4 linked regions of the Lepisosteus oculatus genome follow. The protein of the gene in region 1 purifies or fractionates together with the protein of each later gene. This does not show direct contact. Links are inferred from orthologs where the notes say so. Each region holds a gene or a part of one and is shown in the gene's direction. Other genes may lie near its edges.

Region 1 (7,474 bases):
CATGCAGGCAGCTGCAGCCCCAAAAGCATCGGCTCTGTCATAATTCTCAGAAAACACGGCGCACTCCTATCTCAGGAGCATTGCGAGGTATATTACAGGCCACCCCTCTGAACACAGAGCTTGCAGCCCTGGGCGCTCTCTGAGGACAAAGCAATATTGAGTCAAATAAGATATTTATAGCCAGGAAATGCAACTCACGAGACAGGGGAGCTTGGAGTCGGTGGAGGCAACTAAGCCCTGAGATGAGAAGATCTTTGCCTGGACACAACAGAGGAGCTGGAGAGCACAGCTAAGAAGATATCCCAGAGACCTGACAGAAACATGTCAATACTGTCTGACGTCTCTCCCAGAGGACCCTCCAGTTAAACAAAGCCTGTAAGTGTTGTGCAGAGACTGTCCGGCGGTCCCAGAGGGCCACAGAGGTTGTCTCTTGGGGACCCCTGGACACTCTCAGAGGCCCTAGAGGACCCCTGGACAGTCTTTGAGGGCCCTAGGAGACCCCTGGACAATCTCTGTGGCACTAGGGGACCCCTGGACTTGTGTGAATCGCGGGGTGTGGAGTCGCTGTTCCTTCCCTGGCAACAGAGCCCTTGTCAAACCCATCCTCCCGAATTTCTGTTCTCTGACCCGCCTCAAAATTGCCTCCTGGGACAGTTCTGCGCTGTTTGAAAGTTTTGTTTTATTTTCCTTTGCAAAAAAAAGCCCCCAGCTGTAGGGGCTGATGTTGAACTCGGGACTCCTGCGTTGCTGGTTATGGAGCTTGCAGCTGAGCAGCGCTCACTGCTGTACCTGGGTCAGAACAGAGCCTGCAGGCAAGCACAGCACAATTACAGGCAAGCCAGGCAGTGCATAAAAATAACAGCTGCCAAATGCTAACCTATGACACTACAGATACACAAAACATAGCTTCATATTTAAAACACAGGATATGTAAGAAAATGTCTTTTGAAAATTGTGAAAAAAGTGCAATACAGGTTTGACTGTCTACAACTTAATAGTTCAATTCCCCAACGGGTCCTTTTCTTTTTTTTTTTGCTCAGCTTTGAACAACATTTCTAACAATTTGTTTCCATAAGTAAATTTTCTTACAGTTATATTAACATTCATGAGGATGTACATTATGAGAAACATAATAAATGTCACCTGATCTGTCTTGAATTGGACCTCAAATCAAGGCCCAAGGAGACCCTCCCAGTTCAGATACTGTAAACAGTAGTAACACATAAAACCTTTAAACGCTACTCGCTCTCTTTAAGGTCAATTCACAAGAAAAAAGTTCAAAAGTTTAAAAAGTTAAAAAGTTCATTTTCACACAATTGCTCTTGCAAGTACTCTGAACCGACGCCGTTGCTCCTCTGAGAGCAGTTTTGAGACGCCTACAGGAAACTCACGGACGTGATTTCTACCGTATGGATAAGCGAATGACGATCCATCAGCTTGTTAACGTGAGATTGAGTTGCTGTAACTGGTTTGCCACAGATGCCACAGCTCAGTCCCCAGAGATCCTACTGCCCTGTCCTGACATGGGGACTTAAGGCTCATGGGGCCTGAGCTGGATCCCCTTTTCAGACATTTGAAGTGCCTTCCATTTGGATCACTTGACCCTTCACCAGTAACCAAGATAATAGGGCTACAGAAATAAAGAGTCTGGACCACAGGCGAAGCATCTCGAGGTGTCTGCTAGTTCTACAAGGACATCCGGAGAGGGAGCTGGGCGTTATCAGCACTCACCATCACGGCAGCACCAGAGCAGGGCTGGGTGTCCTCAGAGGTCAGGGTTTGTCAGCCATGACATGTGCCTGTGTCACTCAGACTTTGCGGAAGGGGGTGCTGGACTCTCTCCAGCTGCCATTAAATCAGGAAGAGCCTTATAGGGCACTGGGGCCAGGGGACACAGTATCTCCCCCAGTGCTGCCCACGCACACACGGCCGGGGAGCTGTGTGATATGCTTCTTCTGGGGAGGCTGGAGCTGATCATGTTACACATGTGACCACAGGTGACACAGAGGCCCGGGGGAGTGCTGTGCCACTGGGGTATCAGACACCAGTATCCATGATCCACACCCAGCAGCTCCCAGAGACCCGATCCCAGCTGGCGGGTGCACAAGGGGTGAGCCTGGAGGGCAGGCGGGTTTCTGGGAAATTCACGAGCTCGGGAAGGGGGGGTGGGGCCGCTGGCTGTGGGCAGGGGGAGGCCAGCCGGAGACGGGGGTCACTCAGCTGCCCCTCCGGCAGCACGCTGTAAACTGACGCGCTGGGTCACAGGAGGCACAGGTTTCTTCTGACGGAGTGGAAAATCGGGCGGAGCACCCTTTAGAAGTCCAGCGCTTTCACTGCCTGTCAGCAGCGCTAAATGATGATCACAACCTGAGCCTCCTCCCCACCGCCCATAGCAGCCATAGTGCGCCAGTCCTCTCCCCACACACCAGCTCTCAGTGGGGAGGAGAGCAGAGTGATGAAGCCAGTTCAGAGATGGGGATTATTAGGAGGCCATGATTGGTAAGGGCCAGGGGGAATTTTGGCCAGGACACCAGGGTTACACCTCTAGTCTTTTTTGAGAGACACCCTGGGATTTTAAATGACCACAGAGAGTCAGGACCTCAGTTTTACATCTCCTCCGAAGAACGGCGCCTGTTTACAGTACAGTGTCCCCGTCACTATACTGGGGCATTAGGACCCACATGGACCGCAGGGTGAGTGCCCCCTGCTGGCCCCACTAACACCTCTTCCAGCAGCAACCTCAGTTTTTCCCAGGAGGTCTCCCGTCCAGGTACTGGCCAGGCTCACACCTGCTGAGCTCCAGTGGGTTTGCCAGTTGGGAGTGGCAGGGTGATACGGCTGCTGTCTGTGTATTGCAGACTGAGCCTCTGTGAACAGCTGAATTGCCTGAGCAGGAGGTGGCCTGTTTCCCAATTCCATCCCCACTCTCCCCTGAGGTCCAGAGGGAGGGATTCTCCACCATCTGGAGTGAAGCGCAAACCGGGTAGTGAAAACCTGGAGCAGGCTGTCCAGTCCTGGTGCTGAAATGCCTCCAGAATGAAAAATGAGGAACATGATCAGGGCCCTGCTGTCTGTATCATGTTGCTGAAAGGTTCTCCACAAACGCCAAAATCAGGCCCCTTCACACGGCGACAGCACGACTGTCCCGCGGGTTACTCTCACGGGACACAATGAAAACCTACAGGGAGACGCCGAATTCGAGGAACGTGAGAAAACACACGTGGGCGAGCGGCGCCACCTTGTGGACGCGCTCGGGAGCGCAGAGGCTTTTCTGAAACGAAACGCCGGCTGTGACTGTGACGCTCAGGGCGGACCGGTACCGTCGCGGTCCGCCTTGACCTACAGTCCGGACAAAAAGGGGAGACCTTCCTCGCGTTCACGCGTGGCGTGGGCTGCGGAAGGCTTTTACCCCAGGAAGGGATGTTGCCGGCTCCCTTCCAGCCGGAGCTGGAGTTCACGCTCTGCTCGCCTCGACATCCCTGTCCGAGCCCCATCCACGCACACTCGCGAACCAGGGCCCGAGTCACGCGGGGGACCACCACACAGCACCGCTGCCGTCGCGCGAGCACACTGCTCTGTGGCCCGAGACACGCGCCCCTTCACCCCTCGACTTGACACCTCGTGCTGGCGCGACGCCGGACACTGGACACCGGACACTGGACACTGGACACCGGACACTGGACACTGCGCCAGGCCGCTTCTAGTCTGCCCGTTTGTGGGAGTTTGGTTTTCCTTCGGATTCTGAATGTGGGGAATTTGGGAAACAAAGAGAAAGCTAACTAGAGTTAAAATTATAAAAGCCCAGCGGAAAGAGATAGGCAGAAAATTAAGTTACGCCGCCTGGACTCCTTCTGGCGTTCAAGCACACAACAGAAAGAAAAGCAATATAATCCAGGCTGGGCAAACGATTTTTTAAATTTTTAGAAAATAAATAAAAAATTAGATATAATGATGCGTTCCTTAACATTGCACTACTTTAAAACCTATAAAAACAGGTTTCGATAGTTAATAACCACTTTTTATGCGCGAAAAACGGGTGATTTTGCTTCCTCGTGATCAGCCAGAATCTTTGTGTACGCCGTACGGTTTTTACTTCTTAATTAAACGCTTAAAATACACGAATTTCATAAAGACAACACATCACAGAAATGAAGATGGCGAGTTACAGTTAGAACAGACGGCCGGCGCTTTGTGAGTCACTGTTCAGATTGCTGTTGGCTCAGTTACTTAAAGGCGTAATCATTCATTCTAGGATTGGAATTCATATATGTGCCCTGTCACTGTTGTTAAATCTTGTATTAAGAGTATTCTTTCTGTTCGTACCACTAAACTACACTCCTTCAGTTTCCCGGTTCGCAGTTTGTAAATGGGTCGAGGGCTCCGCCGTGCTGCCGCCAGTCCCCGGCGCCGCCGCTGGGTGGCAGTGTCGCTGCGGCGACGCGCTGTGCCGAAGGTGCCGCTCTCTCCCCCTTCCCGCTGTCGTTGGTGCGGCCGCTCTGTTTGGGCTGAGGCGAAGGGAAGATGGCGGCCGTCCGAAGCTTGCAGGTCTCGGTGAAGTCAGAAGCTGGGTCCGATCGCTCAGAGTCAGATTCTGAATCCGACTCGGACCGGGATTCCCGCGAACCGGAGCCAATGGAGGTAGAAGAAGGTGAACTGGAACTGGAGTCCATTCCGGTCCGCCGGTCACTGAAGGAGCTGTTACCGGTAAGTAAGGCCGCGCCACGACCTCGGTCCCCAGTAGAGAGCAAGGCCGGGCTGGCGTGGCTGACCAGGGGGGTTACAACGTTCCAAGAATCGGTGGTAACAACTGCTTAATGACAATGTTGTCCTGCTGGTTTTGCTTTTTTTCTGTGAAAGGAGCAGTTAAAATTGTGGTATTGGTGTCTCGAATGTTTTGTAAATAGGAGTGTTAATGAGATCAGGTCCTTTTAACTGGGCTCAGGGATTATCGTGTAGTTTCAGTTTTGTCAGAGTACTTGAAGCTTTAGGAGCAGATCGAGTCTGAAGCACAGCCTTTCCAGAAATGGCCACGGGATGGAATCTTTTTCCCAAATGTGTTTATAATCGGTGTCTCAGAGCGATGAGGTGCTGGTACCTTACCTTTATGACTAGGGGTTGCGTCGGAGTGGGTTGGGTCTATTTCAAAATATTGAACTTTACATTGCTTATTCCCCTTTATCGTACTGTCGAAAAGCTCCATCCCGCCTTTCCTGTTTTGTAAACTGCCTTTTGGAGGGTCGGGTTGGGTTTTGTCGTGTTGAACTCAGGGCTGACGTTTCTCAACAGGACACCAGCCGGCGCTACGAGAACAAAGCTGGGACCTTTATCACGGGAATCGATGTCACCTCAAAGGTACGGGCATCCTTGCTCTTTCCGTGCCCTGCGTCTGTTTCCTGCTCCCTGGTCTGGCGGCGCTGTGGTCAGTATTACTGCCTCGCAGCGCTGGGGCCCTGGGATCCGTCCCCGACCCGGGGTGCGGTCTATGTGGAGTTTGTATGAGTTACCTCGGATAGAGTGTGTGTGTGTGATTGCCCTGCGATGGACTGGAGTCCTGTCCAGGGCGTATCCTGCCTTAAGCCTTGCTGGGATAGACTCCAGCTCCCCTGAACTGGTTGAAGCAGTTAGAAGACATCGCTGGTCCCTGGTCTTACGTCTCAGAGCTCCAAGTATTAATGAAACAGTCAACATCCTGGTTAACCCCAGTGTCCTGGCCAAATTTCCCCCTGGGCTTTACCCATCATGGCCTCCTAATAATCCCCCTCTCTGAACTGGTTTCATCACTCTGCTCTCCTCCCCATTGAGAGCTGGTGTGTGGGGAGAGGACTGGTGCATCATCCAGGTGGGGCTGCACACTGGTGGAGGTGGAGGGGATCCCCATTACCTGTAAAGCTCTTTGAGTGGAGTGTCCAGAAAAGCGCTATATAAGTGTAAGCAATTATTATTATTATTAATTAATCAGTCCTGTAGCCCCGAGTCTGAATGGGCTCCCTCCCTGTCCAGAGCGCTTGGTCCGCTCGTGGTTCAGAGTCCTTGAGCCCAGACGTGTCCCGCCCCTCCCCTCCTGGCTGCGGCTGTGGCGCAGGGATTGCGTAACATGGTGTTCCAATCTCTCGCAGGAGGCCGTAGAGAAGAAGGAACAGCGGGCCCGGCGGTTCCACTTCCGCGCCGAGGTCAACCTGGCCCAGAGGAACGTGGTGCTGGACCGGGACAGGATGAGGAAGGGTGAGTCCTTCAGCTGGGCTCTGTGTGCTGGCTGCAGCGCGCTAGTGTGTTACTGCTCACAGTTTAGATCAGATCAGATCACTTCATTGGTCATATACAATTGCTTGTATCAGGAATTTGTCTTCACATACCCCAGCTTGCTCTCCATAAGACACACAGACAGGGAGAGAAGCTTGGGGTCAGAGCGCAGGGTCAGCCATTTATACAGCGCCCCTGGAGCAGCAAGGGTTAAGGACCTTGCGCAGGGGCCCATCCGAGTAGGATTCCTCTGCCGGTCGCGAGATTTGAACCGGCAACCTTCCAGCCACAGGCGCAGATCCTGAGCCACAGAGCCACTGCACCGCTTCACCGGCTTAGCTGCTGCCTTAGAAATACAGTCCTCCCCATTCGTGTAAATAAAGCCCACCGTTCCTTCTTTCTTTTAAAAGGGTAACAGTGTGAAAGTATGTAGATGAAGAAAGCAGGGTTAACCAATAGGGTACAGTTTGTGTAGAAGCCCACTACGAGGAGCAGAAGTTCTAGTAACTGAAACGACAGCACCCTTAGGAAAGAACTGACTGATGCATTCAGTGCCGGATTGTGGTGTCCGTAGGCCCTGGGCACTTTCACTCTGAAATGTGCAAAAAGAGGGTTGAACGCCAGTTGACACGATGCACTTTAAACTGTTCTAGTGCTAAACCACCTGATTGATGAAGCAAGCCGAGCGCCCATCACTTCCATACTTCTAGTTTCTAGAGCAGTTGCTAGAGAGCGCATGATTATTGATTTGGAGCATCTGGAGTCGATCGCAAGCACGTTGTTTCAGCTCGGTTTTTGTTAGTCACTAGTGTTTCCCTCCTTCCTAGGCCCTGGGCACTGTGCCTACAGAGCCTGATGGGAAATCCGGCACTGGATGCGTTTCACAAAGGCAGAGATTGTAGTCTCTGCTCAGACAAAAGAATGATGGGAAGACAGTTTGATACACGCAGGAGGGGAACGGCATAAACGGGGAGCCCACAACCTAAAAGAGCTGCCACCAAAAGTTTTTTTTAAATCCACCCTTGGGATATTCCTGCATGTGGAGCCTTAAGGATGCGGTAGCCTGGATTGAGCTAAGGGACCAGTGCTGCGTGAAACCTTAAGCGTCGCAGAAAGAATTTTAACAATTCATGAGAGACGCAGACAAGAAGGCACTGCAGAGAGTGGCCAGCAGTAAAAAGCCTAGTGAGTTGAGGGTCTTCAGCCTTCAGGCAGAGAATTACAACCGTCTGCT
Region 2 (7,282 bases), on another chromosome or scaffold:
CGGGCTCCTCCTCTTCCTCCTCCGACTCCTCCTCCTCCTCCTCCGACTCATCCTCCTCCGGGAGCGAGGACTCTCCCGCTGCAGACTCTGCGAAGTGGTAATGAGCAGGAGCAGGGGGGTGTCTGTTACTGCCAGTGTCGAACCAGTAGTGTTTCTGCCCAGGAGCACTGTCATTTGAGAAAATGTGTGCTCTATATCATTTTTTGCATCTTTTGAATTATGACAAAAAATACTTGCAATCAACACACGGCGAGCGAAACTTTGTTCCTGTGGCGGTTTATTGAAATATACAGGCTCTTTATTGCGTGTATCGTTAATATCCGTATAAAATTTTCTTCAACATCCAAAGCACATACTCCACCCATCGTAAGCAGTTGACCTTGTACTGCCCCGATATTGATATCTTGATTTTGATCAATTGATATTCTTGATTTTTGGAGTCCCGTGTAGTAGTTCTTTCTGCTTTTTATTGTCTGTGCTTTCCTTCCTTACTGAGGGGAGAGTCCGGTGTTGGGTTTTTCAGACAGAATCCCTCTTCAGTGGGTTTTTGTCCGTGCAATCCGACGCCTGTTAAAAGAGGGGGTTTCCTGCCGGTATCATTTGGAGAGAGAGCGTCCGAGTGCCCTCAGACCAGCTCCGCCGTCTTCTCGCTGGCCTGGCACTAGGGCTGGGCAATACATATCGAAAACGTATCGATACCGATGTTAAGAATCTCTCGCCGACCTTATTTTGCTTATGTCGGGATGAAAGCTTTCCCCACTGTGCGGTTTTCATCAGCGGTCCCCAGTCGTCAGATCCAGTCACAGGCTTCTGCCTTGTCCAACCCGCGTTCTTCATTCAAAACCCAAAGCAGCGAGCCGGGCGTGAGACGACGGGAGCGCTCGTGCTGAACCCCCGTCGGGCAGGGAGGACTCGAGCACGAAGGAAGACGAGCTGGTAGCTCAGACAGATGCAGTGTCGATCGTTAGGTCGTGTGTTGGCTTCAGCGAACCGGATGCCGAACAGAGAGAAGTCGGATGTGAGCTCTTGTCGGGAGAACCGTTTCTGCGCCCACAAGTAACACGAGCAACTGGTTTCATCGCTTTAAACGCAGCCATGTCGTGGGATACGAATACGGCGCATGGCCAAAAAACGAGAGAGACTGTCAAGCGCACTCATGGCCGAAGGGATTCCTCTCTTAACACGAGCGTTTACTCATGCCACTCGATGCGCGAAAGATTCACGCAGGCGTGACGCGATAACGAACGCCATTACACACTGCACAGCGAAGGACATGCTTCCCATAGCTGCAGTGGTTTGAAAGACTCGTTCAAGCCCCCGATGCGTAGAGATGCGTTGTGCCCTCGAGAACACATTTTTCTCAAACTGTGGTGCCTGACGTTTACTAAGTTTCATAGTTTCGCATATTTAAAATGGGGTCTTCCAGCATATCATATCGTATTTCAAGGGTTTCAGGAAAAATGCTCGTTCCATTTATCGTTATCGGGGTAACTGTGGGAAATTATCGCGATATGGATTTGTTCACGGTGGTTCTCTCCCTCTCTCCCCCAGTCCTCCCCGGCCCAGGGAGCCGGCCGATTCCCTGCGGGACTCCCGCTCTCCCAGCTACTCCCCGCCGCTCCGACAGCGCAGGCCGGCGCCGTCCTCACCCCCCCCTCACAGGTGAGCGACCCGGTCCCGCAGGGGGCCCTCGGGGGGGACACAAACACGCTCTCGCCGGCGCTGGACTGTGGCCGGGCCCGCTCGGGGCCTCCTGGCGATGGGCTGTTTCTGCGTGCGTCCGGATCAGTCGGATGTGGTGACTCGGACACGTCTGGGGTCGCTCCGTTCCGGCAGGGTGGGAGAAGCGTGCCTTTGTGGCCCCTGGCCTGGGGGGAGGGGGGGGTGGTATCGTAGGCCCCCGTAAACCCCGCAGCTGCACCTTTCCTTTAGCGCTGGGGGTGGAGGTAGGGGAGAGCGTACCCCTCGCTCGGTGTGAGGGGCAGCCGCCTGGACAAGCGGATCTTCTCCCGTCATGCCGGGGGGAGGCACAGAAGCAGCCCGGGCTTGGCGGGACAGAGTCCGGGCCCCAGCGTGTGCTTGTCAGCCAGGGCTGTCCTGTTGTGTGTGCGTCTGCAGGATGAACCCTGACTCTCTCTCTCTCTCTCTCTCTCTCTCTCTCTCTCTCTCTCTCTCTCTCTCTCTCCTGTCTGCCCGCAGGGGTCAGAGGTCAGACAGCCGGTCACCCAGCAAGAAACGCAGGAAATAAGGTGCCGGGCGGGAAGGTAAGCAATTCCTGTGGTTGGCCAGGCGGAGTCCCACTCGGAAAGCGTTTTTTTCCCCGGTTCTCGCCAGTCGTACCCCTGGCAGGAGGGCCGTTCCGATCGGAAAGGGGGCGCACCGTCCCCACGTCTTCTCACCGAGCCGTGAGATGAGCGGGGGAGGAGGGGGGAGGACAGCGCGGGAGACTGGCCTGTCGGGTTTGACCAGAGCCTTTTCTTTCTTGTTCGCAGGTGTCGACACCCGGACTCCCTCTCCCAACTCCCCCCCGCCCCCCCCAACTCTGTGGTGGTACAGCCCAGGACCTAGTCTGCAAGATGCTCGTGGGCCGTCCCACTCTGGGTTGCTCGGGGGGGGGGGGAGGCGAGGGGAGTGGTACAAGGACACTGTTCCAAGATGGAGGACTGAGATGCTGACACTGGAGTTTGGGAAAGACGACGAAAGGAAGAGAAGAGCGAGAGAGAGAGAGACCCACCAGGAGGAGAGGCCGATATCCGATTGTGACTTTTGTGCTGTTTTTGGAGGACGGAAATGGTTCCCTTTTCGTTTTGTTTGTTCTGGGGAAGGTGGAGAGAGCGCGGTGTGCAGGCGGCGTTGACGCGGGCTTCGGATGTGCGTGCCCACGCCGTACTGGGTCTTGATCTGTGAATTATTTTTGGGGGGGAGGGGGGGCGCAGGGCAAGATGACACTGTTTGTGAATACAAAACATTCTTTAAAAGCTGTTTTTTTTGTGAAATAATAAAATCAAAAAAGAAAAAAAAATCCGGCAGTTCTTTGGAGTTTTCTGTTTCTGGCGTGTGTGTGTTTTCAGTCTTGTTACACCAGGAGGACAGCTGGTCCGGTGGTTCTGGTCCAGTCCTGTTACACCAGGAGGACAGCTGGTCCGGTGGTTCTGGTCCAGTCCTGTTACACCAGGAGGACAGCTGGTCCGGTGGTTCTGGTCCAGTCTTGTTACAGTGGAAGGACCGCTGGTCCGGTGGTTCAGGTCCAGTCTTCTAGTCCAGGAGGACAGCTGGTCCAGTGGTTCAGGTCCAGTCTTGTTACAGTGGAAGGACAGCTGGTCCGGTTTTGGACCCGTCTTTTTACAGTGGGAGGACAGCTAGTCCAGTGGTTCTGGTCCAGTCTTGTTACACCAGGAGGACAGCTGGTCCAGTGGTTCAGGTCCAGTCTTTTTAGACCAGGAGGACAGCTGGTCCAGTGGTTCAGGTCCAGTCTTTTTAGACCAGGAGGACAGCTGGTCCAGTGGTTCTGGTCCAGTCTTGTTAGACCAGAAGGACAGCTGGTCCGGTGGTTCTGGTCCAGTCTTGTTACAGTGGGAGGACAGCTGGTCCGGTGGTTCTGGTCCAGTCTTGTTACACCGGGAGGACAGCTGGTCCGGTGGTTTAGATTCAGTGGTTCAGAAGCACAAATGGGTTTGTACAGTATGTATATCTACAGAGCATACGAATCAGTTATGTTAATGGATGTATGTTTTTAAAAACAACAGCAACTAAAGAGATAGAGAGGAGAACATTTTGTAGTTTATTAATCCCAGGATCTGAACTATGTCTCGAGAGAAGCCAGGATATTGGCTTCAACAATATAACTGGGTAGCTTTTTCCACTCTCCCACCCCCCTTTGTGTAAAAAAAAGTATTGAAATTGACAGACAATAACCAAAAACATTTGTGTCAATTGATCATTACAGATTCATCACCTCAGCATTACGAATCTTGGAGATCCTGTATCATGGAAAATGTCAAATAAAGATACATCACCAGATCACATCTATATCGTTATATAAACAAAATGAATTCATGCACCTATATCCTGTCTGTTCAAAAAATGTGACTGCGCCAACCGCAACAAGGGTTGTGCCAATCTCTTGCAGCTACAGGGAGAGTAGTTTCTTATCCTGTGCATGCATGCGTGTTTTTTTTTGTTAGCGGAAAGGGAACAACGGTCGCGTTTCAAAGCCGTGAAACTACAATTCCCGTCATGCCACGAAAGCGGGGGGGGGGGTCCTGTGACGTCACTGCCCTGCGCCGCCCGTGTCCCTTTCCGAGAGGGAGAGTGTTGGGCTGTGCAGACCTGGGGCTGACGAGTCTGGCTTGTGTGCAAGTTTCACTTTTCTCGCCAGATTGGACGCCGCGTCTAAAACAAGAGGAAACATGGGACCGGTCGAGGTGATGGCCCGTCCTTTTCGTGTCTCTGTGTGTATGAAGCGCGCTCTCACGTTGCGTGTGTCGCAGGATTTCGGGGGTGCCTTTGTGTAAAAGCCCCGGGGGATGTAGCACAGGACATTTTCAGTTCTAGAAAAAAATATTTCCAGTATGTAATCCGGTCTCTGGGGCTTTTACACAAACAGGGGTTACTGTCTGAGCCTTTGTGTTCAGAAGTAACGGCGCGACAGCAGCCGGGGGCTCCGAGCTGGAGGTGCCGTGTTTTATCCGAGTTTCTGTTTTCCACCCGTGTCTCCGGACATAAATCCACAGCCTCTCCCCAAAACACCAACACACAGCCCCGTTGATGGAGGGTGGTCGACTTCTAGGGTCGTGACAAACCCCACGGGAGAGTGTCCCGTGTTTTATAACCCACAGTGTGGCAGCTCCCCTCTGAACGTGTCCACGGTGTAGCGCCCTTCTCTTTCCTCTTTTCTTACTGTGGTCCACAACGTTAATAGTCAGATTAGACCAGAGCACTCCTGTGCTCTTCCTGACTTTATTTCAGTCCTGATCCAGGAGGAACACTGTGTCTCCTGGTCTTCACTCCAGCCTGGGCTCTTACTGACTTTTACTGCTAAGGTCAAACAGACTGCTGAAGTCAAACTCCCCTATTACACTACCTCTTTTGCTGGTTTCAGTCTTGAATTTGGGTTTGTGAAGTCTGGTGTTCCTCAGGGCTCGATACTGGGTCCCCTCCTCTTCAGCATTTACCTGTTCCCACTTGGTCAGCTATTGAGATCACACGGTGTAAACAATCACTGGTACGCCGATGATGCATAAATCTGTATCCATGATAAACCTGGCACTGAAGTGACTGTCTCTGTACTGTCTAATTGCATCTCTGACATAACATCCTGGATTTTCTTAATTGAAACAGTGACAGACCTGTAGTCATGCTTCTCTGCACCTCCCTTCAACAGTGTACTGTGCAGCCAGTGCAGTGACCCTAACTGCAGGAAGGCCCTTGAATTTGTGCGCTGGAATTTCAGTCTAAACCGGAGAACGTGGTGGTGATATTTGATCCAGGCTTGGCGTTTGACCCACACGTGCAACATATTGTAAAACAAATCTCATTCTTCCACCAAGTATTGCCAGGCTACGGTCCAATGTTCCTGATAACTGTTGCTGAAAACTTGGCCAGGACTTTTTTTTATGTTTCTTTCAAATTGATCACTGCAACGCCTTCCTTGCTGGGGTATCTAAACCCACACTGAACAGACTCCAGTCTGTTCAGAATTCGACAGGCCAGATCCTGTCCAGGTCTAGTGCAAGTGATCCCATTACTCCTGTCCTGGAGTCCCTGCACTGGCTTCCTATCGGGTTTCGTGTCCATCTCAAAATCCCCATGCTCACCTTTGAGGCTCTGCATGGCTTGGCACCTCAGTAGCTGTCCGACTTATTTTCCTGCTCGCCACCTCACAACCAGACCATTTGCTCGTCTAACTCTGGTCTCCTGTCCTCAAGCTTGTCTGTTATTGAGAGGGGCTCACTGTCTGTTCCCACAGTCTGCAGATGACAGGGCCTTCTCGAAGCAGATTATTCTTATCTTTATTATATTGTCACAATGTTGTGTGATGTTTTGGTGTTATACTGTGTCATTGTGCATTGTTGTGACACAGGGTTGTGTTGATGTGTTGAGTTACACTGTCATTGTGCTGTGCTGTGACACAGGGTTGTGTTGTTGTGTTGCGTCACACCGTGTCTTTCAGCTGTGTTGTGATACAGGGTTCTGTTGGATCACACTGTGTCTTTCAGCTGTGTTGTGATACAGGGTTGTGTTGATGTGCCGAGTTACATTGTAATGGTGCTGTTACACAGGGGTGTTTTTGAGCAGTGTTGTGACAGAGGGCTGTGTTGCTGTGTTGTGTTACACTGTCATTGTGCTGTGTTGCATCACACTGTGTTTTTGAGCAGTGTTGTGACACAGGGCTGTGTTGCTGTGTTGTGTTACACTGTCATTGTGCTGTGTTGTGTCACACTGTGTTTTTGAGCAGTGTTGTGACACAGGGCTGTGTTGCTGTGTTGTGTTACACTGTCATTGTGCTGTGCTGTGACCCAGGGTTGTGTTGTTGTGTTGCAGCTCCTGCACATGTCCGTCTTCTCTCAGAGCTTCTCGCCTTGCAGTCGGTTCCTCGCGGCTGGAAACAACTACGGCGAGATCGCCATCTTCAGGTGAGACAGGGAACTGCGGTGCCCTCTGCTCCCGCTGTCTCCTAGTCTCTGCTCCTCTCACTAACCTGACCTGCTCCCACTGTGTCTCCTAGTCTCTGCTCCTCTCTCACAAACCCCTCTCGCTCCCACTGTGTCTCCTAGTCTCTGCTCCTCTCTCACAAACCCCTCTCGCTCCCGCTGTGTCTCCTAGTCTCTGTTCCTCTCTCGCTAACCTGACCCACTCCCGCTGTGTCTCCTAGTCTCTGCGCCTCTCAATACCTGACCTGCTCCCACTGTCTCCTAGTCTCTGCGCCTCTCACTAACCTGACCTGCGCCCACTGTGTCTCCTAGTCTCTGCGCCTCTCACTAACCTGACCTGCTCCCACTGTGTCTCCTAGTCTCTGCGCCTCTCACTAACCTGTCCCGCTCCCACTGTGTCTCCTAGTCTCTGCTCCTCTCTCGCTAACCCCTCTCTCTCCTGCTGTGTCTCCTAGTCTCTGCGCCTCTCGCTAACCTGACCTGCTCCCACTGTGTCTCCTAGTCTCTGCGCCTCTCACTAACCTGACCTGCTCCCACTGTGTCTCCTAGTCTCTGCTCCTCTCACTAACCTGACCTGCTCCCACTGTGTCTCCTAGTCTCTGCGCCTCTCGCTAACCCCCCATGCTCCC
Region 3 (7,098 bases), on another chromosome or scaffold:
TTTTTTATTAATTATGCAGATAAATGTTTCACGAAGAACAAAAATGAATAGTGTCCCGGTAGTGTTGCATTTGGAACAACAGTTTTTTTAAATGTTCTCTGGAGGTCTCACTGTAACCACGTTTTCTATTTTATATTGTACTGTAGAAAGATGAGTAAAGGTTTGGTATTTATAACAGATGGGATGTTTGTCCTTCAAAATGTGCATTTTCGTGCTGATCTGTTTACTGTGGATTTGATGTTATTATATAGCCGGTGCGAAACACCAGAATTGTTTTAGTGTGAATTAAAACGCGCAGGATAAAAAAGAAAAAAAGATCAATGCGAACCTTATTACTTCAGTTAGATCTTTTCTTTGTAACTTTGGTTATTTCAAGTCTGCTTGCAGGCTGAGGGTAGCATACCTTTCTAAATATTTTAGAACAGACCTTTTTAACTGGTTTATGATAGCAGTGGAGCACTGAGAATCTGGTGATATGTGTGTGTTACACTGGTCATGTAGCAGTTAAACCTTTCTAATCCTACTTTGATATCACAATCTTGCCATACTGCTTTACATGTTCCTGTGTATCTCAGAAAGCACAAAGTTGTGCCTTAATAAACACTTCTTTAACTCTCTTCAGATTTGCTGTTTTGTACTTCAAAATAAAATCCTCGGATAAAGTTTTTTTTTTTGCTATATTGATATGCAGCCTGGGAAGTACAAGAAACAAGAAAACTGTGACTTCATATCGAGATAAAAATAAATTTGGAGGAATAGGGATTAAAACAAAAATACTTTAATTTGTTCAACAGTATGAACGAACATTTTAAATAACCGTATTGGTGTTGTTGAATAAAACTCCAGAAAGAAGCTGTGAAGGGTTGGTCTCCCTTTACAAAAGCACCACCAATGACACGAGTTTACTGTAGTCAACAATGCTCAAATAGTACCACCGCTGATCTTCTGATGGAACTGTGGAAAATGAATATAACACAAATAGAAAATACAACAGCAATAGATTTTCTCTCTGAAAAACCTATACTGTATATTTTACTTAAATATTCAATATCATTGAATTGAAATTCGGTTAATTTCAGATAATACATTTGGGACATTTCACTGTCCCAAAACAAAAGATGCATGACAAGGATCCTACATTTGTAAACGCCTCTTGGCAGCCAGTTTTCATGAATCGCACAGCATTCAAACCTCATCATTCCCTTCATATCAATGATGGCCCAGTTCGTGTACTGTAACAGGATGATGCCCACCTCCACACTGTGTCCATTGCCCGACAGTGACCCACAAGGTTTTGCCCCACTAACAGAATCCACTCCTTCAAGGATTACTCAGAGCGGGCACTGATCAGACACATGTGGACTGCTGTGCCTTTTCTTCCTAGTAAACACGATGGTCAGACTTCTGGATCTGTGGAGGAAGCTGGTCAGCACTTAGAACAGCATCATCATCTCTGTGAGGGACACCTCCCGTGTGAGATTATGGGGACAAGGATGCAGAATCTGAGGGCACAGATGACTGAGGACTACGCACAGCTGAAGCAATGCTTAAGCCACACGTTGTACACCTCAGGAATACACCACTCTGTGAACTTCATCAGTCTGCTTCTTGCACTTTGCCTGCTTTCTATAAACAAAGCAGTCAGTTTGTTCATCCCTGTCCCAGAAATAATATACTCAAGTTGCATTCCTGAAAAGAAACTACAAATAGGAATTCGGATGCTCTTAATATTACCACTGAAGCAGCAGCATGGACTTGTGTTTAGGGCTTTGACACAAAGACCAGAGGGTTGTGGGTTCAAATCCTTTTTGGAATTCTGTGATCCAGTAAATGTGTAATTTTTAAGGTCATTGTTTTAATGGAGAACTTTCTTGTCCTTTCATTTATCTGGTTAAGTAAAGAATTGAAATAAAAAGGGAAAAATATCTCATGATTTTTTTTATTGTTGTTTTTTTGGGGAGAATACGAACTGGTATGAAAGCATATTTGAGTGAACGATTTGGATTGTCACCAGGCTCCAGGAGTGCTTGTCATGTACTAGATGACAGAACTGTGCCAGAACTGAAGCCGGCCTTTTTGGGGCATTTATCAAAGGTACTGATCAGCTGTATCACTATCCAGAATACAAAAATGAAATGTCCCACACAGGTTTTCTGTGTCATGCAGACCCAAGGTAGCAATCTCCGTTTGTTTGTTTTTTGTTATAGCAGACATTCTTCAACGGGAGGTCAGAGCAGACTCGCTCACTGGCCAACTTCAACCCTCTAACACAAAAAGGTTTGCATTCCATGTGCCCTCAGTTTTTTTTTTTACATTACTTTATTAACCCTTTACAATTTCTTGCATTAGGAATTTGTCTTTTCGCATACCCCAGTTTGCTCTCCATGAGACACACAGACAGGGAGAGAAGCTGGGGGTCAGAGTGCAGGGTCAGCCATTGTACAGGGCCCCTGGAGCAGCTGGGGTGAAGGGCCTTGCTCAGGGGCCCAACAGAGTAGGATTCCTCTGCCGGCTGCAGGATTTGAACCGGCAACCTCCCAGCCACAAGCGGAGATCCTGAGCCACAGAGCCACCGCTCCGCCCCAAGTTATTAAAGTTGAACTATCAGACAAGCTAAACACAGGAGAAGAGTGTTCCATGTGTCACGCACATTCAGAGAAATCGCACTTGGACTTGCAAGCTCCACACAGACAGATACACACAGCTGGAATTGAAACTGAGACCCCGGTACTGTAAGATGGTGGCGCTAACCTCCACTCCACCCTCTGCCGTTATTTCTTTAGCTGCTCAGGGGTAACTTTCTTTTCAAGGTCTTTTAATAAAAGGGTGCACAGAAGAACTGGTGTTTTTAAGCCACTGGTGGTCATCAGGCTGCTTTCAAAGCAAATTTCAAAGGCCGTCAGTCTACTTTATGGTTTTGTGGTTTTAATGGACAAACAGAAAGAGCTAAAAATAACTGTCATCATATATTTCAGCTAAATATTTTCTCAACTCTACAGGCCACCTCTAGGTCAAACACTGCCTCCTACATTCACAGGTTTGTGTGGGTAGTGTCCTAGACAGGATACTGGAGAACACAATCGTGGAATAGTTCGAGGATAAAAAGTCACACTGTGGAATCGTTAGCGTGCGTAGGCTGCAGAGGAACAAGTAAAGGTTTATTCCTGCTGAAAAGAGAAGAAACACAACGTTTCAGCTGTGAACCCACTTGAAGAAGATCCATAGCCGAAAAGTAAATCTTTTCAGCTTTCTGGCAACGTGCAGAAATGTTAATAAATGACAAATATTCAGTATTGAATGTAGTACAGCAACAACAAAAATAAAACTTTTCGTGCATCTGTATGTAGCCTCGCAGTATCCTACACTAGACGTGCAGAGTGATAGTTTTTAAAATAAAAAATATAAAACTAAAATATATATATAATAAATAAATATATAATGAAAAATATAAAACAGGAGGAAGGTTAGAAGCTGGAGGACGGTGTCCCATTCGATGTATTTATCACGTTTGGGTGGTAGTAGAGAGTCATGTGGGAATCTCATCCGGCATCCAAACAGCAGTTTCTTGAAAAAAGTAGGGTGTCTCCCTCAGCAACTGGATTTTAAGATCGTCGACGAAAGACGCGACAAACAACGAATGATTATTTAAGCAATGTTTGGAATACTCGTACCTTCCAGTAGGTTACAAAGGATTCTTAGAATTACGTTTATTGCGTGTGTATATTACAATAATATTACATAAAGCAGTCTGTACAGTACATACTGTTTCATTTGTTTAGATCAGTTTGTCATTTCGTTTAGTTTATTTCACTGAAATTAACTAAAGTGCATTTTTGTGCATTAAACAAACTCTTGTCGCCATTTTTTAAAAACAATTACGGTGATAATAATCGAAATAAATGAATAAACGGACGTTTTCCTGATCTTTCCTCTTATCTTTGTTATCATAGGCTCCATTACAGTGCACACACACTCACCGAAAGTGTGAAACATTTACTTCCTCCCTCCCAAGATGGCGCCACAAAGCTACGTACAAATCCGACGACAGGAACTCTAGCCATCCGTTAGAGGATCTCTATGGCCTTTTTTTGTCACTGGTTTCCGGTTTGTTTTGCTCACTGACGGAAGCGGGGTTGTAGCAGGCTCCCGAGAAGATGTCGCCGTCCGTGTTTAACTTTAATGATGCCAAAGAGAGATTTGCGGTAAGAAACTGTGTTAGTGCAGTTGCAGAGTTGATGAAACCGTGGCTCGGGACGAGAACAAAAGGGATTTTAACGTGCAACCCGTGTGTAGGGGAAGGCTTTTGTGTTGCGTACTGCGGCTCTCGTCTTCTGCGGTGGAGGATGTACGTGAAGAGTTTAAATGAACGTGATTGAAATACCAAAGGAATTTGCCAATTTATCCGTTCTTGGTCAAGTCAGGCTAGTACAAGCGGAAAACAGCTTTGCTTGTGAAGGTCCTGTCGGCTATGGCGTAAATTCCCGTCTCGGGAGGTGACTGAAACCACTGTGGGGCGTGTTTGAAGAGTCTCCGGCGAGGCATTCAAAGCATTGCTGTCCAGACGTATGTTGTATCGTAAAATAAGCTAGAGCATGTGCCTCTGGTCTTGCTTTTAAAGGATTATCCTCCTAAAACACCATAGCACGTGCTATGTTTTGCTGTGCTAAACTAAACTCTCAAAAGCAATCCAAATGTGGAGTGACTTAAGATCATATGGCCAATGTCTTTTGTGAACCTGTGTTTTTAATTTATTCTTTGTTGTTGTTTTTTTTCCAATAGAGTACAATCAGAAGTACCTTGGACAGCAAAACTGTCAAGCCCTTAATCAACACATTTAATCAGCTCCCTGGAAAGTAAGTGCATTTTCCCACAGCTTGACAAGAACGTCTAAGGGGCTGTCGTGGTTTTTCTATAGGGTGTTCAGCAGCAATGTGAAAACGGTGCTTGGCATAAAACCTGTATTTAAAGTGCATGATGAATAAATTGCTTCCTCTTCTGTTTGACCTGTTAGTGAGACAGAGAAGAAAACCACACTTGACCAGGCTCTGCGCTGGGTTCTCGAGGGAGAAATTGTAAGTCGTCATAAAGATTGTCTTAAACAACAGAAGTTCTGCTTGTGTTTAATGGCATTTTAATTACTGTAAATCCTTTAACTCCTATGGAACTTTTCTGGACACTCCACTCAAAGTGCTTTACGGGTAATCCTCTCCACCCCCACCAGTGTGCAGCCCCACCTGGATGATGCGCCAGTCCGCTCCCCACACACCAGCTCTCAGTGGGGAGGAGAGCAGAGTGATGGAGCCAGTTCAGAGAGGGGGATTATTAGGAGGCAATGATTTGTAAAGGCCTGGGGAAAATTTGACCAGGACACAGGGGTAACACCCCTACTCTTTTTGAGAAACACCCTGGGATTTTTAATGCCCACAGAGAGTCAGCACCTCGGTTTTATGTCTTATTTGAAGGACGGTGCCTTTTTACAGTTTAGTGTCCCCATTACTATACGGGGGCATTAGGACCCACACGGATGGGTCCTACTGGTCTTAATAACACCTCTTTCTTAGCTTTGATATATATTTACAGAAGTGTCATATTTAGATCCTTGAAATACATGATCCACATCTACCACACCTTGGGTGCATTGTCCCCACATCACAAAGCTGGGTACACGCAGGGAGCGTCATTCCAGCAACTGGGGATTTGTCAGTGGAATTAAACTGCCGTTCTTTTGCAGATAAAACGAAAAGCTAGCTGTGAAGACTTCCTGGCTCTTATCTATCTCAGCATTGATGGAGTTACAGAAGGTGAGTTATTAGGAAGATCATGACAGGTTTCATTTAAAGACTGAATAGCAGGTGAAAGCCTCACAGGACACTGGACATTTTGATCAGTAAACAGTTTTGATGGCTGTTCTTTGCATTTGATGAGAAAAGTACTACCTCGACTTTGTAAAAGTGCCATTATGTAACTGGATAAGATTTACTTTACTCTTGACCTACACCGGTAAATTCATTTCAAACGTCAGTAACTGGTTCTTAGTCATTATTTTGGGATTAAGTGGGAGCATTTATTTTTTGAGGATGTAGAACAGGTCTCAATTCTCAGCCTGATGTTATGTGTGATTTGTCGCATTTGTCGTGATTTGTCTTCTTGTACCATGTGGTTTGAGGTTGATGGTTCAATTTGTCAGCTTCAAATGACAAAACAAGGATGGCGCAGTACCGCAGTGGCCAGCATGGCTGCCTCACAGCGCTGGGGCCCTGGGTTCAATTCCACACCTGGGGTGCTGTCTGTGTGGAGTTTGTATGTTCTCCCTGTGTTTGGATGGGTTTCTCTGGTTTCTTCCCACAGTCCAAAGACTTCTTGGCAGGGTAATTGGCATCTTGGGGAAAACTGCTCCTGGTGTGAATCTGTGCATGTCTGTCTCTTCCCTTCGCTGGACTGGCGTCCCATCCAGGGTGTACCCTGCCTTGCACCCGTTGTTTGCCAGGATAGGCTTTGGCTCCCCTGTGATCTTGATTTGGATCAAGCGTTTAATAAATGGCTGGACTGATGGAATTTAAAATGATCCTTCTGACACTCGGGGTGCCAGATGAGCTTCAGTGTCAGCCTTGCCTTCTGTGTCCCCCCTGTAATCGAAGGTATTTGCTCGGCAACAACTCCTTTCCTGCTGCTGGGAGATGTACTGGACTGTCTTCCACTGGACCAGTGCGATAAAATCTTCACTTTTGTTGAAGAAAATGTTTCAACGTGGAAATCCGTAAGTACAGCTTGCCAAGTGCGGTCCACAGCACGAGCTATTTTGAAAGCACAGAGGTGACTCTTTGCTCCGCTTCTGAAACCTTCTGTCTCTATGAGGAAAGTCAGAAATGAGAAAATTCATCTGTTTGCCGAAACACTTAACAGGTCACAGTCGCTGCCCGTGGTAATGCTTACACAGGGGTAAATACTGAGAGATCAAAATCATTCTCCCATGAGTGTAATATTCTAAAGTTAGTAGAGTGTCAATATAGCATTAAAATGTCATGTTTTTGTAGGGTATTGGGAAGAAATATCGCCTGTTGAATATTGGGTTAAAGCGGCTTTTTCTGCTGACTTATA
Region 4 (7,489 bases), on another chromosome or scaffold:
TCACTGCACTGTTTATTGTAATGCTGCAGAGCCTGCCGCCCAGGGCTCAACAGATGTTCCAGGAGAGCAGGCGACGAATAAAAAAATACACAATGCTAAACATTAAAAAAAAAACATATCACAAAATATACAAGTGTTTTTTTTCCCCCTCAGTGAAACCAGGACATTGCCTGGGACCAGTCACAGTGGAGTCTCCCTCTCTGCCCTCTGCTGCAGGACGCCTCTGGCTGAACTGCCCCACCCTCCTGCACAGAGGTCAGCAACACGGGGAGGCTTTCTTCCAGGTCTGGGCCTTCTTGGCAGGCGGGTAAACTACACAGTTAACAGTCACTCGAGCAAGCAAAGAGCACGCCGGGCAGACGTCCTGTCGCGGCCGGGACCGCCCGGCAGCCCCTCCTCACTCCTTGAACTTCCACTCCTGGCGGCACATGGGGCACTGCTGCTGCACCTGCTGGGAGTTCAGCCACTTGAGGATGCAGTGCATGTGGAAGCAGTGGGAGCACTGGCCCCACACCAGAGGGCAGTCGTCTCCGGGCACCTTGCCTGGGAACAGACGGAGACGGTCGTGAGCAGAGCGCCCCCTGCTGCTCAGGCTCAAGCACACTTCCCTGCGCTTGACGCGAACGCGGGACGTGGGCCCACAATCCACTGCTCCACAGTCCTGGCCATCCCCCTCCCCTTACAGAGCCTTGAATTCGCACACCCCCCCTCCCCGCCGGCCGGACTCACAGTCAGGGCAGCAGCCGTTGAAGGACATCCTGCAGATGCCACAGTTCTCGTCATTGGCGACCCACAGCCAGGAGGCGACGCCATTCCACTGCTTTATCTTCACCTTCAGCCCCCGCTCCATGGCGCTCTCTGCAGGACACAAGGCACCACTACAGCTGGGTGGGCACTACAGCTCAACAGCTGTCCTGCTGCAGAAGCAGATGGCTCCACAGGCTGCTGCACTGTGCAGGTTAGCTGGGCTGCTCTGCTCCCTCACACAGCAGAGCTTTAAAGAGCTGCACTACTACAAATTGCACTGCCCATGAACCAGAAAGGCAAGATCACATTAATTTTGTGCCAATCTATCCCTGGAAGATCCAGAGACGAGAGCCTGCAGCTCCTAACACCTGTAGTGGATCTGCAGGCTGTGCAGTGAAAGTCTCCGGTTTCCCTGCTGCTTCAGTGCAGGTGGGGCAGCCGACTGTAAAGCTCCATCCACAGGTCTCGCTTGTGAGCTCAAATCTCAGCACATGCTAACGACTAGCACCTCACCAGAAGGATAGGAACGACGCTGTGACAAAGGCTAAACAGCACAAAATAAAGCTTACCCAGTTAATCTAATTAGACAGCACGTACTGTAGCTAGGATATATGTGACCTGGCACAGGAAGGGATTTTAAAGCTGAGTTTACAATGATAGACTTTAAAGCATTTCCTCTGCAGCCTACGCCTGTAGAAAGTATATTAAATTCAGCATCGGCTTGTGAACGGGACATACTGTGAATACGCCTCACTCTTCACCCCTTCATCAGAAACCGCGGCGTTAAATCTGCCCTGCGGACACAATAACGAAACACTAACATTAATGACTAATTAACAGACGTTACTCTAAACGTCTGACCGATGTTGTTGTCACGTGTCTCAAGAAATGGCCGTTTGGCTTCTGTCAAAGTGAGATCGAGCTCAGTTGCAGAAGCTGCCCGGAGAACCGAAGCGGGACCTGGCTCCGGCCCTGAGCTCCTTTCCGACCTCGGGGGCGACGGAGCCCCTCAGCCCGCTCTCCTAGTGCAGAAGCGCCGTCCACTTCTGTCCCTGCGAACGGATGAACTGGTCGGGGCGACACATTATTATTTAGACCGCTCCGTCTGCTACACAGTGTATCTTAACTGTCCAATAACACAAGAAACTTCACTGTTCAGACTTGACTATGTTACGCACATCATCTCAGGCAAAAGCGTCCGCTAGGCAGCTATATCAAATGAGAGAATAGTTAAAAACTGAACACCGCACAGTACCTGCACGACTCCCGTAACCCCTCTCAATTGATCAGGCCTGAACAGACCGCAACTCTTTCCGTTGATCCTCAACTCTGCGATCGTCTAACGCGACTTTGACCACATTTAAAAAGCTTGTCGTCGGAATACCGCCGCCTGGAGGCCTGGCGTGACGTTTACAGTGAAACACGAGACAGCGGCAGGAGTGGAAGCTAATTTGAAGTCCAATTGGAAGTAAAACAGAGACCAGCAGCCACTGCTAGTAGAGTAGTAGTAGTGGAGGAGTTTATATTCGTGGTGGTCATTCAGGACATACACAGTACAACAGACAACACCACCTACCTAGATGTACACCTACCACACAATGCAGGCAGTACATCACACACATAATAAATAATAACAACAGGAACAATAAATATGTTATGGAGAACAATAAATATGTAGTAGTGGAAAAAAACATGGTAGACCATGCAGAAAGTGCAGATAAGTGCATTGAGTCTGAGGCCCTGCAGTGAGCTGCTGTTGAGGATGCACACTGCAGTGGGATAGAAGCTGTTCCTGAGTCTAGTGGTCCTTGCTTTAGCAGCGGCACCGCTGGCCAGAGCGCAGGGGCCGGGATGGGTGGGATCCTGGATGAGGGATTGGGCTTCACTGTGACAGCAGACGGTGTGAATCCCACCGATTGATGGTCAGTCACATCCTGTGATACCCTGTGCCGTTGCCACAAGCCTCTGTAGTGGGTCTCTGTGATGCGCAGACTTCTCCCACCTCCTCTTCTTTCCTGAAGGGATGGTGGGAGTGTGGAACACGCTGATGCCCTGGTTTCTTAAAAAAAACAAACTGGATCAATTAACTACCAGACGCACTAGATGGGCTCCTCCACAGCTTGTTACTGTTCTTACAGTCTAACTGGCCTTTGTGCCCTTTTGTAGCGACATACACACAACACATCACAACACAGGACGCCACATCACCACACACAACACACACACAATACATCACAACACACACAACACACCGCATCACCACACATCACAACACAGGAACACACATCACAACACAGGACACCACATCACCACACACACAACACACACAATACAAGACACCGTATCACCACACATCACAACACAGGACAACACACACAACACAGAGCAACACTCGACAACATATCACAACACAGGACAACACATCACCACACATCATAACACATCTCAACACAGGACAACACATCGCCACACATCACAACACATCACAACACAGGTCAACAGGCGAACAAGACACAGAGAGAAGATACAGCTCTTGGGATCACACCACAGAGCACAGATTACAAAACAAATCCTTATCATGTGAAACAGCGACATGTATGAAATACTGAGCTTTTGTTGGACATTTGAAAAGAGATAGAATTGAGTAAATATAATAACTTATTTTAAAGAGTCCTAATTGATGTTTTTGAGTAAACATAAGTCCGTTATGATGCCCGTGCTCAAAGTGAGGACGAAGCAGGCTGAGTTTTCCACTGTGGAGTCTCAATATTGTATTTTCTGAACTGCGGAGGAATGTGGCAGGCAGCAGCAGGAGTGTGCTGTGTGCCCCAGCAGAGTGATCTGCAGCTTGTTGCTCTCTGGACTAGAGAGCATTCTGCCTAGAGCAGATACTGATGGGCGCCAGGGGGACCGAGACGCTCTGACGAAATATTCCACATCTCCTAAGCATGAATAGGGTCAAACGCCTCTCAGTCACTTAATTGTGTCAATGTACTGAGTTTGATGGCTGTGTTTGGAGTAATTGCCATGTCTGTGTTCTTTTAACTTCATTTGCTGCTTGCGGATTATTCCAGTGTACCTTATTATTGTATCCTCCACTGCAGCAGTCCTGTCTCTGTCAGCCTCCCTCACTCTCAGCCCTCTCTCGCACTAATAATAATAATAATAATTAATAATATAGTGCTTTTCTGGACACTCCACTCAAAGCACTTAAGAGGTAATGGGGACTCCCCTCCACCAGCACCAGTGTGCAGCCCCACCTGGATGATGCGACGGCAGCCATAGTGCTCCAGAACGCTCACCACACACCAGCTCTCAGTGGGGAGGAGAACAGTGTAATGAGGCCAATTCACAGATGGGGATTATTAGGGGGCCATGATTGGTAAGGGCCAATGGGAAATTTGGCCAGGACGCCGGGGTTACACCCCTACTCTTTTCAAGAAATGCCCTTGGATTTTTAATGACCACAGAGAGTCAGGACCTCGGTTTTACATCTCGTCCAAAGTATGTGTTGTATTGCATTGCAACCACCTGTGAACACTGCTAATATTGTCTTGTTTTTTTTAAATATGTCCGTTATGGACTGGAGCGCTGCCGGTCTCTAACAGGGAATACAGCACATACAGTACAGACTCCGAAAACTACAGCTCCCAGCAGGCTAAGCCATTCCACTGAGTGCGCAGGCGTCAACCCCGCCCTGCATGACGTCTGTGTCCGACGCCAGCCGCAGCGTCTTAAAAGGCGGCCATTGTGTTTTCTCCTCACCACTTCGTGCTCGGGTATCAGCGGGGGCGAGTTGCAGAGTAGGGATAGTGCGTGCGAGTTCGTTTGTCTCTATTGATAGGCTTAGTTCGGCGACTCGAAATGGTCGATAAGATGGATATGTCCTTGGACGACATCATCAAACAGAACCGGCAGCAGCGGGGCGGTGGCGGGGCCCGTGGCGGCAGGGGAGGCCGGGGCCGGGGAGCGCCCGGCGGGGGCCGAGGCGCCGGGGCCGGCCGGCTCGGTGGCGGAGGCGGCGGCGGCGGCTTTGGGGGTCGCGGCGGAGCAGGCCCCGTGCGGACCCGACAGAGCCTGAGCAGAGGCAGAAGCAGACCCACGCCGTACAGCAGGGTAGGAGAAAAGAAAGAGATGGGGAGAGAGAAAGAGGAAAAATGGAAAAGCGTGGCGCCCGAAAATGCCCGGGTCTGCGGAGCTTGTGCGTTTAATATCCTAACGTGCTAATAGAGCTGTTACTCACTGGAGTGTCTCTGGAGAAACAAAAATGGCTATATTTATTGCTAGATGTCCAATTTACCCGATTCACTTTCCTTTTTAAGGAAGAAAATAATTAAAATGCCTAATGTTTTCCTTTCTCCCCCAACCTCTTTAACCTTTCGTGTTTAACCTAGTTGAAAAGCGGGCGTTATCAGGAGACATGTTTGGTTTTTTTTTTTCGGGCTGCTATGCCGCCCGGGAGCGGAGAGCTCAAGTCTAAATTTGTTCGAGTGTCTAGAAAGAGCAAAACGCCATTTTTAACGGCCACGAAGACGCGGTGCAGCCGCCGGCGAGGACGGGAGGCCGGCGGCGGCGGAGGAGGGAGCGGAGCGCTGCGGAATGAATGAGCCGGCTTTGTGTGCGCCCGGCCGGGCTGTCCGGCCAGGAGGCGGCCCCCCGGAGCTCCGGGCTCCAGCCCCCCGCCGAGCAGCGCTGGCAGAGGCGGGGGAGGCTGTGGAAGGACACTGATCGGCCGGAGTTAGCCGCCGACTACACTGCGGTGGCCGTGCACCCGCAAGGGGTCTCCGCTTAGCTGATCAAGACAAAATGGCGCAGCTACAAAATGGACGCTCTCTGCAGGCAGGGCTCCGAGGCCTCGGACCGCAGCTGCAGCTGCCCTGCGGCGACTCTTCCACACGGGGACTCTGTTCCACTAGAGAGCCGCCTTTCTGCAGAAACACGATCGCGGGGGATCCACGGACTTGATCCTGCGGCGGGGCGGCGGACTCTCCGGGCCTCAGGACCGCAGGCGGAGGACAGGCTCGGCGAGGGGGGTGGAGAGGCGCCGCTGCACGGATTGGCCCCCTTTTCAACACCTGCGGCTGGAGTCTGAGGGACCCTCGGCCGGGGCGGCGGCGGGCTGGGACCTGCCCCCGGCGGGCGGGTTACCGGGACACTCGGTTTCAGAGGCGGGAGGTCGGATTGGCAAGGGGGCAGTGAAGGGGTAGGACCCGGCGCTGAGCCGACGGCGAGCACCTCCGGTGTGCTGGTGCCTTTTCCGGCCTTGTTCCCTTTTAAAGCTGTGATCAGTGCGCACCTGCACTGTAACCTTCCCGTTTCTCCAGGGTAGCGCAGTTTCAGCCATTGCTCCTGAGTCTAGTGTAGCTGCCTCGTTAGGTTTTAAACAGCATTGAATGCATTTCTTGAGCAGAATGTTCATTTTACCCACAAGGCTCTGTTGGGGGGGGTTATGTGGCTTCTCTTTTGGGGGGTGCACCTAGTGTTTGACCTTTGGGGGGGGTTCACAGTGATACTTTTATTTGGATCAGCTCCCGGAGGCAAGTTGTCTGCGGCCAGCTGGTGCTCCTGTCTGGTCTTGGGGGCTTTCCTGGTGGGGCAGGCGGAACCAGCCCAGATTGCTGCCTGACCGGGCTCCCCTCCTGGTGTGGGCCACGGTGGTGCGACTGGGTTCCTCTGGCTGCTGTTCCTCTCGGGAGCCGGCGTTAGCTGTGGGGTGTCTGCTGGCCTTCCTCTCGGAGAGCGGGGTCCTGGCGGCCTGGCGCAGCGTGCCGACTGGGAAGTCAGCAGGTGCGTTCTGTTTGCTCTCTTGCAGCCCAAGCAGCTCCCGGACAAGTGGCAGCACGACCTGTTCGACAGTGGCTTCGGCGCGGGCGGCGGCGGCGCCGGCGTGGAGACCGGAGGCAAGCTCCTCGTCTCCAACCTGGACTTCGGGGTCTCGGATGCAGATATCCAGGTGAGTGCTGACTCTGCGCGGGGGTGTCCTGGTTTGGACTGCGTGTAGCTCGCGTAGTGGCTGCATGTGGCTCTGGGATAACTGCAGTTCCTAAACTGGGTCTCGCCTCTCATTCAGGAGAAACACAGCACTGTAGCCCTTTCACTCAACAGCTCCGAGGCAGGGGTGTGCAGTCCTGGTCCTGGAGGGTTTGTTCAGAGCCCCCCAACCTCAAGGGGTCACAGAAGTTACACTGGTCCTATTGTGCCAGTGATTGAACTGTGCTGGGTTCATAACCTGCAGTTGCTGAGGTGACCCTTTTCCAAGGTGAAGCACATTTCCATGAGGGGGGGGTCCAGGCTCTCACCCGCAGGCTTCGGTGTGATTTCCAGAGGCAGGTGTTCCTGTTGCAGTGAGAGTGCTAGCATACAGATTAAGACACCTGCTCCTAGCCTTTTGGTTTGCTTTTGAGAAGCTAGATCGGTGCCTTTTCCTGTGTCTATCATTAGCCTACAGCTGTTGTGCCCATGGGGTAGCAGGGTGGAGTTGAGCCTGCGCGCCTCTCGTGTGGTGGGTGGGTTGGGCTTGTTGGCGAGCGCACAGACCTGATGGTGCCCTGTGTTCCAGGAGCTGTTCGCGGAGTTTGGCACGCTGAAGAAGGCTGCGGTGCATTATGACCGGTCGGGTCGCAGCCTGGGCACGGCGGACGTGCACTTCGAGAGGAAGGCCGATGCGCTCAAGGCCATGAAGCAGTATAATGGCGTTCCACTGGATGGTGAGTCTGTCCCCTGTTGTCCTCATTTTGGAATT

The links.
Region 2: the proteins of ncbp3 (region 1) and thoc6 purify together in Homo sapiens (co-immunoprecipitation; 3 studies listed by BioGRID and IntAct, with this or other methods). This does not show direct contact. The link is inferred for Lepisosteus oculatus from reciprocal best matches to the Homo sapiens genes NCBP3 and THOC6.
Region 3: the proteins of ncbp3 (region 1) and thoc1 purify together in Homo sapiens (co-immunoprecipitation; 4 studies listed by BioGRID and IntAct, with this or other methods). This does not show direct contact. The link is inferred for Lepisosteus oculatus from reciprocal best matches to the Homo sapiens genes NCBP3 and THOC1.
Region 4: the proteins of ncbp3 (region 1) and alyref purify together in Homo sapiens (affinity purification with mass spectrometry; 4 studies listed by BioGRID and IntAct, with this or other methods). This does not show direct contact. The link is inferred for Lepisosteus oculatus from reciprocal best matches to the Homo sapiens genes NCBP3 and ALYREF.

What each region holds. Positions count from the first base shown.
Region 1 is NC_090721.1:10,765,916-10,773,389, reverse strand, and holds the start of ncbp3 (nuclear cap-binding protein subunit 3), read left to right. Parts: upstream 1-4,474; 5' UTR 4,475-4,521; coding exon 4,522-4,704; intron 4,705-5,286; coding exon 5,287-5,352; intron 5,353-6,116; coding exon 6,117-6,222; intron 6,223-7,474. UniProt on the Homo sapiens protein: Associates with NCBP1/CBP80 to form an alternative cap-binding complex (CBC) which plays a key role in mRNA export. NCBP3 serves as adapter protein linking the capped RNAs (m7GpppG-capped RNA) to NCBP1/CBP80.
Region 2 is NC_090699.1:5,871,397-5,878,678, forward strand, and holds the start of thoc6 (THO complex subunit 6 homolog), read left to right. Parts: upstream 1-4,265; 5' UTR 4,266-4,409; coding exon 4,410-4,424; intron 4,425-6,543; coding exon 6,544-6,635; intron 6,636-7,282. Other genes in the region: srrm2 (serine/arginine repetitive matrix protein 2), read left to right, coding at 1-97, 1,552-1,662, 2,200-2,248. UniProt on the Homo sapiens protein: Component of the THO subcomplex of the TREX complex which is thought to couple mRNA transcription, processing and nuclear export, and which specifically associates with spliced mRNA and not with unspliced pre-mRNA.
Region 3 is NC_090701.1:57,196,634-57,203,731, forward strand, and holds the start of thoc1 (THO complex subunit 1), read left to right. Parts: upstream 1-4,085; 5' UTR 4,086-4,154; coding exon 4,155-4,202; intron 4,203-4,779; coding exon 4,780-4,853; intron 4,854-5,011; coding exon 5,012-5,072; intron 5,073-5,731; coding exon 5,732-5,801; intron 5,802-6,638; coding exon 6,639-6,757; intron 6,758-7,098. UniProt on the Homo sapiens protein: Component of the THO subcomplex of the TREX complex which is thought to couple mRNA transcription, processing and nuclear export, and which specifically associates with spliced mRNA and not with unspliced pre-mRNA.
Region 4 is NC_090704.1:47,020,009-47,027,497, forward strand, and holds the start of alyref (THO complex subunit 4), read left to right. Parts: upstream 1-4,486; 5' UTR 4,487-4,611; coding exon 4,612-4,863; intron 4,864-6,559; coding exon 6,560-6,700; intron 6,701-7,306; coding exon 7,307-7,454; intron 7,455-7,489. Other genes in the region: anapc11 (anaphase-promoting complex subunit 11), read right to left, coding at 398-543, 730-850. UniProt on the Homo sapiens protein: Functions as an mRNA export adapter; component of the transcription/export (TREX) complex which is thought to couple mRNA transcription, processing and nuclear export, and specifically associates with spliced mRNA and not with unspliced pre-mRNA.